Daphnia pulex: one gene and its partners. Each later gene encodes a partner of the first gene's protein in a complex. Links are inferred from orthologs where the notes say so. Each region holds a gene or a part of one and is shown in the gene's direction. Other genes may lie near its edges.

What was found.
Region 2: spliceosome-associated protein CWC15 homolog (region 1) and beta-catenin-like protein 1 share a complex: the UniProt entries of both Homo sapiens proteins name them as parts of the PRP19-CDC5L splicing complex. The link is inferred for Daphnia pulex from reciprocal best matches to the Homo sapiens genes CWC15 and CTNNBL1.
Region 3: spliceosome-associated protein CWC15 homolog (region 1) and probable small nuclear ribonucleoprotein G share a complex: the UniProt entries of both Homo sapiens proteins name them as parts of the minor spliceosome. The link is inferred for Daphnia pulex from reciprocal best matches to the Homo sapiens genes CWC15 and SNRPG.

The regions. Positions count from the first base shown.
Region 1 is NC_060025.1:5,440,485-5,443,353, forward strand, and holds spliceosome-associated protein CWC15 homolog, read left to right. Parts: upstream 1-1,060; 5' UTR 1,061-1,296; coding exon 1,297-1,427; intron 1,428-1,484; coding exon 1,485-1,628; intron 1,629-1,715; coding exon 1,716-1,875; intron 1,876-1,934; coding exon 1,935-2,177; 3' UTR 2,178-2,225; downstream 2,226-2,869. Other genes in the region: unextended protein-like, read left to right, coding at 1-176, 262-534; cell cycle checkpoint protein RAD17-like, read right to left, coding at 2,491-2,645, 2,711-2,869. UniProt on the Homo sapiens protein: Involved in pre-mRNA splicing as component of the spliceosome. Component of the PRP19-CDC5L complex that forms an integral part of the spliceosome and is required for activating pre-mRNA splicing.
Region 2 is NC_060022.1:2,352,546-2,356,309, reverse strand, and holds the start of beta-catenin-like protein 1, read left to right. Parts: upstream 1-1,580; 5' UTR 1,581-1,718; coding exon 1,719-1,748; intron 1,749-1,920; coding exon 1,921-2,225; intron 2,226-2,291; coding exon 2,292-2,623; intron 2,624-2,697; coding exon 2,698-2,921; intron 2,922-2,997; coding exon 2,998-3,146; intron 3,147-3,236; coding exon 3,237-3,418; intron 3,419-3,496; coding exon 3,497-3,764. UniProt on the Homo sapiens protein: Component of the PRP19-CDC5L complex that forms an integral part of the spliceosome and is required for activating pre-mRNA splicing.
Region 3 is NC_060026.1:11,525,772-11,528,191, reverse strand, and holds probable small nuclear ribonucleoprotein G, read left to right. Parts: upstream 1-1,145; 5' UTR 1,146-1,303; coding exon 1,304-1,335; intron 1,336-1,398; coding exon 1,399-1,421; intron 1,422-1,483; coding exon 1,484-1,608; intron 1,609-1,674; coding exon 1,675-1,728; 3' UTR 1,729-1,766; downstream 1,767-2,420. Other genes in the region: sideroflexin-1-like, read left to right, coding at 40-125, 190-317, 380-469, 538-632, 698-757. UniProt on the Homo sapiens protein: Plays a role in pre-mRNA splicing as a core component of the spliceosomal U1, U2, U4 and U5 small nuclear ribonucleoproteins (snRNPs), the building blocks of the spliceosome.

The DNA.
Region 1 (2,869 bases):
TTGTTGTTGATTATACTGTTCGTGCGGTCAGTGATCTAGTGTATTTTCACATGAGCCGATCCCTGTACCAAGCAGTCAGAAGTGCTACCGTCCTAGAGCGGGTACAGCGTGAAGTTGTGCCACGAATGACGGAATGCGAATCTGCTTTCATGTCTAGCAGAGAAGATTCTGATACGGTATGGGATTCCTGCAACTGAATTACTTTTATGTAGATGATAAATATTGTGACTAACCCAATTTTTTTTTTAAATTGCATTTTAGTCTGTAAATTTGACGAACGGGTTTTCACCTATTGAGTTACAACCTGACAGTTCTCGTTGTAATTCTAACTGCCTCCTGACTAGATCTGATCCGGAAAAAGAAAGCCTACTAAGTAGTTCACGAGGTAGTTCATTACCTAGTACCCCAAATGTTTGTGTGGTCGATAGTCGATACAAAAGAAATGACGTTTTCAGTAGTTGTTCACCCCAGACCATCATTAATCATCAAAATGATACTGGAAATTACTCTTTTCCACACCGTTCTGATCGATAATTCCTTGGATAATTCGATTTAGTGAAATATTTGATGAAAACTGGGAAAACAGTTGAACAAATAGTTCGTCTACAACCGCTGGCGCGCTCAAATATTAGTGAAATTGTCGGAGAACGATTAATGTGGATGCATCCTATAAATGTGGTACCACTTCTTGACATTCCCGTTGATAAAATAATAATGTAGAAAAGGGAAGGTGCAAGACGATGCGCACTACTATGGTTTGTTGTTTTATCAATCTAAATTTGTTTTAGTAGTGATTGAAAATCTAGAACTTTCATTGTCAACACATTCACACAGTCGATTTTTTTATTGGTTATTAAAAATAAACCACAAACATATGTATTCCTTTAATGTACTGTAATTGCGTAACATAAATCGTGTGTGGAAATGTAGGAAACCAGTTATGTGAGGTGAAACAAAGTAACCTATTTCGTACTTTTTTTAATTAACAAAATTTCGCGGGTTTTCTGATCAAATCGGGGGAGGAGCATAAAAATCGACACTAGCGACACCACATTGAAAACGAAGAACTATCAACCTGCTTCTTCTGCTTCTTGCATGAGTTGCATCTCGACTCGAGATTCTCGAGTAAGAATCCAACTTCTGTCGTGTGTCCTTGATTAGTTGATTTTAATTGTGTTGGGGGAAAAGCGTTTAGTAACTTTGGAGGTTTTCAAGAGTCGGATACAACAGAGCAACTCTTTCATCAAAGCCAAGTACAAGTAGCATTTTCCACAGTAATTGAAAAATCGTTAGAAAATGACAACTGCTTCGCGACCAACATTTGCCCCTGCTACTGGAGGACAAGGCAGGGGAGAAACGTCTCTCAGTTCTATGAGTAAGCAATATTCGAGTCGAGATCTTGCATCACATACTAAACTAAAATACAGGTAAAATTTAAATTTAATTCAAAAATTCTGACATTCTAATTTTATTTCTTTTGATAGGGATATTGGTCAGGGATCATCAGAGGAAATTCGCAACAAGGATCTAAAAAGAGATCTAGAAGAACGGGAAAAATCTCATAAGGAAAAAGGAGATCGCAAAGACAGAGATAGGGCTGTTAAATCAGCTTCGTCAGTATCTTCCCAGTAAGTCTGAAAAACATTTAACTTTTTTTCCCTATCTCTACAAACTATTTCAGTTATGGGATTAAAGAATGTGTTAACACTTTGCAGGAAGAAATTACGTGTTGATCCTAGTAGCTTGGATGCAGATGATCCCATTGAAGACGAAAGTGATGACAGTGTTGATGAAGAAGATGAAGATGACACTGCTGAATTAATGGCAGAGCTTCAGAGAATAAAGGGTGAACGAGCATCTGAATTGGCCAAAAAGGTATTATCATTGACTTAGATGCTCTTGTTTGTCAAATACACAAATTGCTTGTTTTTCAGGAAATGGAACAGAGACAAGAAGAGGAACGTATCAGAATGGAAAATATTTTAAGCGGAAATCCATTGTTAAATTACGCTGGGAAACCTCAGAAATCTGACTTGCGTGTCAAACGACGATGGGATGACGATGTTGTCTTCAAAAATTGTTCCCGTGCTGAGCCGGAAAGGAAAGAAATCACTTTTATTAATGATTCACTTCGGTCTGAATTTCATAAGAAATTCATGGACAAGTATATTAAATAATTTTTTATGTTCCATGCATTTGATTAAATACATTTCCTGTCTTAATTACTAAGTTTATTTGTAAAATTTTTTTTTGTGGCTGATTCGTTAATCGTCTGTAAAGGACTAAAGACACTTTAATTCAGTATACCAATTTTTCCTTTAAAAAGTTTTCTTATTCATTCATTGGCATACTTACAATATAAGAAAATATTTTTAAATTATTTATTCCTCTTTGTTCATCAAATAGAATTTTATAATTCTAAATATTAGAAATTGTTGACATTACAATAAAAAAAAACCTCGATCTCTTTATTATCGCGACGTGACGACTCTAGTCGTCATAATCTTCGATGATGATATCAGCGTCCTCGTCCCGATCCTTTTTACCATTCGAGTTTACGGAGTCCACTACATTTGCTGAAAAATCAGTGGATTGACTAACTTGAAACTGGTGGTAATTAAGCTGGCCTGATGTTGATTTTAACCCTGTATCAATTTAATTAAATGAATAATAATAAGATATTTAAAAATAAAGAGAAATGAGATCTCACCGTCTGTTATTTTAGATCCTGATCGAATAAGGTTGATAAACGGCAATGTTTCAGAAAAAAAAGAGGGTCCACATTTATTACCATAACCGTCTTGTACGTGCATGTGCAATTCTTGTTGCTGTTGAAGAACTGAATAATAATCAGGTTTTCTCAGAGGAC
Region 2 (3,764 bases), on another chromosome or scaffold:
AAGCCAGCATAATGGCATGATATCGTAATTATTACGAGAGACAGTCACTTTCCAACATTACAGGACTTTTTCTACTGTAGGCTTGCACATGGGAAAGGAAAAGGCGACTGTTTAAAAGCTTTCTAGATGAATAGTCGCTGGTTATTACTCTCCACAGCTGGAAAGTGCGTCGTAAAAATGAACCCTTTTAATTGCTCATGTGATGATTTGTCGTCGGTTTCTCGAGAAATATCATTCGTAGCTTAGAATCATTACTTTTTCAAGTTTCAATTCCTTCAGGCATTTTTAATACGGTGTGATATTAAATAGCCTCCTATTATTATTCCATTTAAATATGAATTTTACCCTAAAACCACAAACGACACCGGAAAACTTATTCCTCTTGGTATAACACCATTTATAAAAACTTTCTTAAAAATTTCTCTAATTGAAAACGAGGGTTAACCGAGGGAATATTTTAAGAACGAGTGCCAGTGTGGCGACCAAGGACCCTCTTTCGTCATAAAATTTTTCTAGTTGCACTTTGCTTTAAGTGTTTGAAGTTGAAATATTTTTGAATTGGACTTTTTACCTATAGACAAAGTTGTGAGGTACAAAACAGGGCCTGAACTGCAGCCGTTCTACAAATGAGCAACCACTTTTTCAAACCCTGACCGAGTAAACAAAAACGGCAAGAGAAAACCGTTCCGGTCAACCGCATAGCTCAGGAATAATCGTACTCAAAAATTTATAATCAACGCCAAGTAACAGTCAAAAAGGAAGAATTTAGATAAATGTTTTTCTACCTTAAAGCCTTTAAGTCCACGTTCACATGGGTGTAAAGAGGACATTCCAAGAAAGGGGAAGAAATTCGGTCGACATCGGTGATAGTCTCTCCAATCAAACGGGATGCTATAAATCCTATCTAAATAAAAATCAAATATGAAATATGAGTTACGAAAAATATTTACAGAAACAATTAGTGATAAATAGAAAACAAGACAGCAGATGAATCCTATTTATTAATGGACAAGAGAATGTAAGAATTCCCTGTAACACTCTGCAAGTGATGGCTATTTAAAACATCTAACAGGTTAATAAAAGTAACGAAAATCATTACCTGAGTGATGATACTAAGATTGTTGCTGATGACACTGTGAATACTGGCACAAGCAAAACTTGCATATGTTGTGGTTTGATGGTTGGCTCTGGCCTCAAATCTGCACAAAGATGAGAATGTTACATAGTGCTCACAAACACACATGCAATAGCAACACTTATCATGTAAGCCCCTTATTACATGATACATGCTAGTCAGTCATTCTATTTGAATTTATGGGGTTTTTTTACCTGCTAAAGCAGCATGTGTATGTGCATTAAGCGATTCTATAAAGACACGCGACCGGCGACCAGAGTTGACACGGCAATCACATTTTTGTTTTTAATTTTTAGTGCTATTTTTCGTGCAGCAACGTAACGTTTCCCCCCAAAAATCTTTGTCTCTTTTTCTTTTTCGAAACTTTCAAACAAAACGAAAGCAGACAACACTAATCATAAAATCGACCCATCGAGTTTCATTACTTATGGCCAGATGGCGTTTTTATTCTGATATTCCTAACGGTAGATGACTCTATTTTCATGTTTGACACATCGTGTTTTTTAAAAAGTTGAAAGTTCCAAAAGATCTCTTCAAATTTTGTTTATGCTGGTTCATTATTTAATTTAATCGAATATCTGCAATGGATGTCGGTGAACTTTTATCTTTTAAGGTGTGTAAATCAGTTTGTATTAACACTTCTTTAGCTATAAGTCCATTAAGGGGAAACAGAAGCATTGGATGTTATGGGATTGCATGGAGCATATATTGCAATGGCATTTGTTGGATTATTTTGAAAGCTTTCATTTGTTTTATTATGATTAATCACTACTTTCTTGTTACAGCCAAAACAAAACCCCAAACGAGATGTTGCAGATGATGATAAAGAGCCAGAGTTTGAACGTCCCGGAAAGAAACTTAAACAGTTTCCAACCAGTAATGTAAAGCCAAACCCAAGATCAACAGCCACATATATTGCTCCCCCAGTTGTTGAAACTCCAGAAAAAGAAGAATTGCTCAAATTGGTAGAGCAAGATGAAGGTTCTGAAAGCCTTGATGAAGCCTCCCTAAAGAGAATGATTCTAAATTTTGAAAAGCGGGTTCTGAAAAATCAAGAACTACGTGTTAAATTTCCAGATGCGCCAGAGAAGTATGATTCCTATCCTCTGCTTGTTTTGTCATCATTCTTCATAATAGTTTTTATTTTATCTTTTAGGTTTATGGAATCAGAATTGGAATTGCATGAAGCAATTCAACTGATGCATGCACTTGCAACAGCTCCTGAACTATACACAGTAGGTGTTGAACAAAAGCTTATACCAACATTGCTAGGTCTATTGTCACATGACAATGCAGACATTTCTGTCGCTGTGGTCAATTTGCTTCAAGAATTGACTGACATTGATACTCTGAATGAAAGTCAAGATGAAGCTGCAATTCTAATTGATGCACTCCTGGACCAGCAAATCTGTGCCCTCCTAGTCCACAACCTGGAAAGACTAAACGAAGCTCAAACAGAAGAATCTGACGGAGTTCACAATACACTAGGTATAGACGATCATTTATGTTTCTATAATTCATAAGTACCCAGTTTTTGTTCACAAAATAATTTGTTCTTTCAGCCATTGTGGAAAACTTAACGGAAATTAGGCCTGAAGTGTGTCAACAAGCAGCCCAACAGGGGTTGCTGAGTTGGATAATGAAGCGGCTAAGAGCTAAATTACCATTCGACGCCAACAAACTATATTGCAGTGAAATATTGTCCATTTTGCTTCAAGGCACACCAGAAAATCGGCAACTTCTGGGTGAAATTGACGGAATTGATATTTTGCTTCAACAGTTAGCCGTAAGAAAACGTTTTTCTTCATTCATTTTTCATTTGTGTAAAAGTGCAAGTCATTTTTTTAATTATTTTCTCGCAGATTTTCAAGCGGCAAGATCCCAAAACAGGAGAAGAACAAGAAATGATGGAGAATTTGTTCGATTGTGTTTGTTCCAGTCTGATTCACGTTCCCAACCGCGACAGATTTCTGAAGGGAGAGGGCTTGCAACTTATGAACCTCATGTTGCGGTATTGTTGAAATTCCCACGATCCGGCTTGCTACCATTCATATTGTTGATCTTGAAGCCTGACCCGTTTTTTTCCCCACTTTCTTTACAGAGAGAAAAAAATGTCCAGAAATGGCGCGTTAAAGGTTTTGAATCACGCACTTAGTGGTGAGGCCGGTAAAGATAATTGCACCAAATTTGTGGACATCCTCGGCTTAAGGACTATTTTTCCGCTATTCATGAAAACGCCGCATAAACTGAAGAGAAAGGGGATGTCAGCAGAAGAGTATGAAGGTAAATATAAAATATAGTGCAAATACTGATGTGCATCACAAATTTATAAAACGTGACCCGTGTAAATCGTTTTTTTAGAACATATAGTCTCGGTGATTGCAAGTATGCTAAAGTCGTGCCGAGGATCACAGCGCACCAGACTTCTGACGAAGTTTACAGAAAACGACCACGAAAAAACCGATCGACTGATGGAGTTGCACTTCAAATACTTCGACAAATTACGCGTGATTGACGCTCAACTCCAGCGGAACGACGACGAAGAGGACGAGGACGAAATGTACCTTAAACGTCTGGAAGGTGGATTGTTCACGCTTCAGCTGGTGGACTACATTATGATGGAAGTTTG
Region 3 (2,420 bases), on another chromosome or scaffold:
ACCATAATGTAAATAACTTTATGAGAAATTAATTTTTAGTCAATGTCTCCTATTATTGGGCGTTTGGTACCCTTTGCAGCTGTTGCTGCCGCTAACTGTGTAAATATTCCTCTGATGCGAATGCAGTAAGATAAACATTTTCTCGTCGCATAAGATAACTAATGCTTTAAAATACGACTGATTTTTTAGTGAAATTCAAAAGGGAATCTCAGTTTCTGATGAGAACGGAAATGTACTCGGTGAATCTTCGATTGCTGCCAAATGGGGTATCACTCAAGTTGTCCTTAGTCGTATCGGAATGGCTTCTCCTGGAATGGGTAATTCATGTAATACGATAGTAATCTGATAAAAATAAAACATCCAGCACAATAATATGCAGTCCTACCACCTCTGCTGATGAATTATTTGGATCGAAAGGGCTTCTTGAAGCGATTCCCTTGGTCTGCGGCACCTATTCAAGTTACTTTATGTATGAAACATTAACTATTTATCATGTAGTTGTAAACGGCCAATTATGTATTATTATTTGGCTTACAGGTGGCGTATTACTTACTTTCGCTACTCCAATGTGTTGTGCCCTGTTTCCTCAAAAAGCATCGATTTCGGTTGACAGTCTGGAACCAGAGCTACAGGTAATTTTTTATAGCGTTTTAATGTGGTTCTTGTTTTAACATACATCTTTTCTTTTTTAATTCAGGCAAAGATTCGAAAATCCCCGAATCCCCCAACTGTTGTTTATTACAACAAGGGCCTGTAAATTTGAGTCAATCACTGAATTACTGTGGACGAGTGCAAATATCTCAGTACAAGTTTCTTAGATCAACTAGAAAATGAAAAAAACAACAGAAAAACACATTTAATTAAAGTAACTTCCACAGTTTATTTTTTTTTGCTCAAAGTATATTGGTGTAGTTTCCATTCCAGTTGAGGTAATTGGTAGTCATTTTGCTATAGAAATAAACTGCTAAAAAATATTTTCTTACAGAATTGTAGCTGCTAATTTATACAATTAATTGAAGATCGTAATTTTTTTCCTGTTTTAATAAGGCAAAAAAGCCACAAGCTGTATAAAAAATTCCTTAGCGCGCCAGCGCCCAGCCGCCAGGTCTCGTCGCCGGTCTCGCAAAGCCGCCAGTTTCTAAATTCAATATCTGGCAAACACGCGTTCCTAACGTTTGGCATCGCGCATCGGACATTAAAAACGATCCAAACTTTCTTGGTGTATCACGTTTTTTCCTAGTTGCTTGAAGTTAGTGATATATTCATCAACGTAGATATTAGATATTAGTTATTTCAAACCAAAATGAGCAAGGCCCATCCACCAGAGTTGAAGAAGTATGTATTGTTGCTTAAGTTATATTTACATTTTTAATAATGATCTCTACTTCTTTTGTACAGGTACATGGATAAAAGAATGTCTTGTAAGTATTATTTTTTTGTTAAATTATTATTGAAAACTGTTTTGAAGAATTGTTTTTCACAGTGAAACTGAATGGTGGTAGGAACATTGTTGGGATCTTGAGAGGTTTTGATCCATTCATGAACTTGGTCATTGATGAAACCGTTGAAGAAGTTAAAGATGGTTCGAAAAATAACATAGGGATGGTGGTATGTTTAAAATTAACATGGCATACATAAATTCAAATACCATTAACTATTTATATGTAAATTTAGGTTGTTCGTGGAAACTCAATTATAATGTTGGAAGCACTGGAAAGAATCATGTAGCCTAACTGCTGAAAAATAAATGTCATCCAAATTGTAAATTATTTAAAACATTCCACTTTATTACTCTTTTCTTAGCCATCTTAGCATTGGGTTGAGAGGAATTAAGAATGAAAAGGTTACAAATAAACTGAAAATTAAGGAGTGTTGCAAATAAAACACCATTAGAAGAAATATAATGGCTGGAAATTAATGTTAAATTAAAATTAATAGTAAAAAAATAATGAGAATTCTAAAACAATTTTTCGGTAATGAAAGATTTCATTTATTGACGCTAATTAAACAAATTAAGCTTGATCACGTCAATCACGATGAGAGATTGTGCATGTAATATTATTACCTTATTTATATTATGTGGTATATATAAATAACATAATTCAGCGCCACTGCCAGAAGGTTAGATAGTTGTTGAGCTCGGAATTGTTGAACGCCATCTATGCTCTCCAGACGATACACAAGGGTGGGGCCTATATTCTGATAGACGAAAAATTAACATGAGAGTGACTAGGTCTGGGCAGAGCAATAGATGCCTGGTCGGTTCTCGGCTGTGTTGGCTTCCCTATCCCGGTTTTAGGGTAAACGACTAAACGTATCCCCGATTTTCAGACATTTTAGGGCGGAGCTTGTCAGAATTGTGAAGTTGAAACTGGAAATAGAGCCATCTAGGCTCTCAAAAGTAGCTGAGCGTAGTAGCT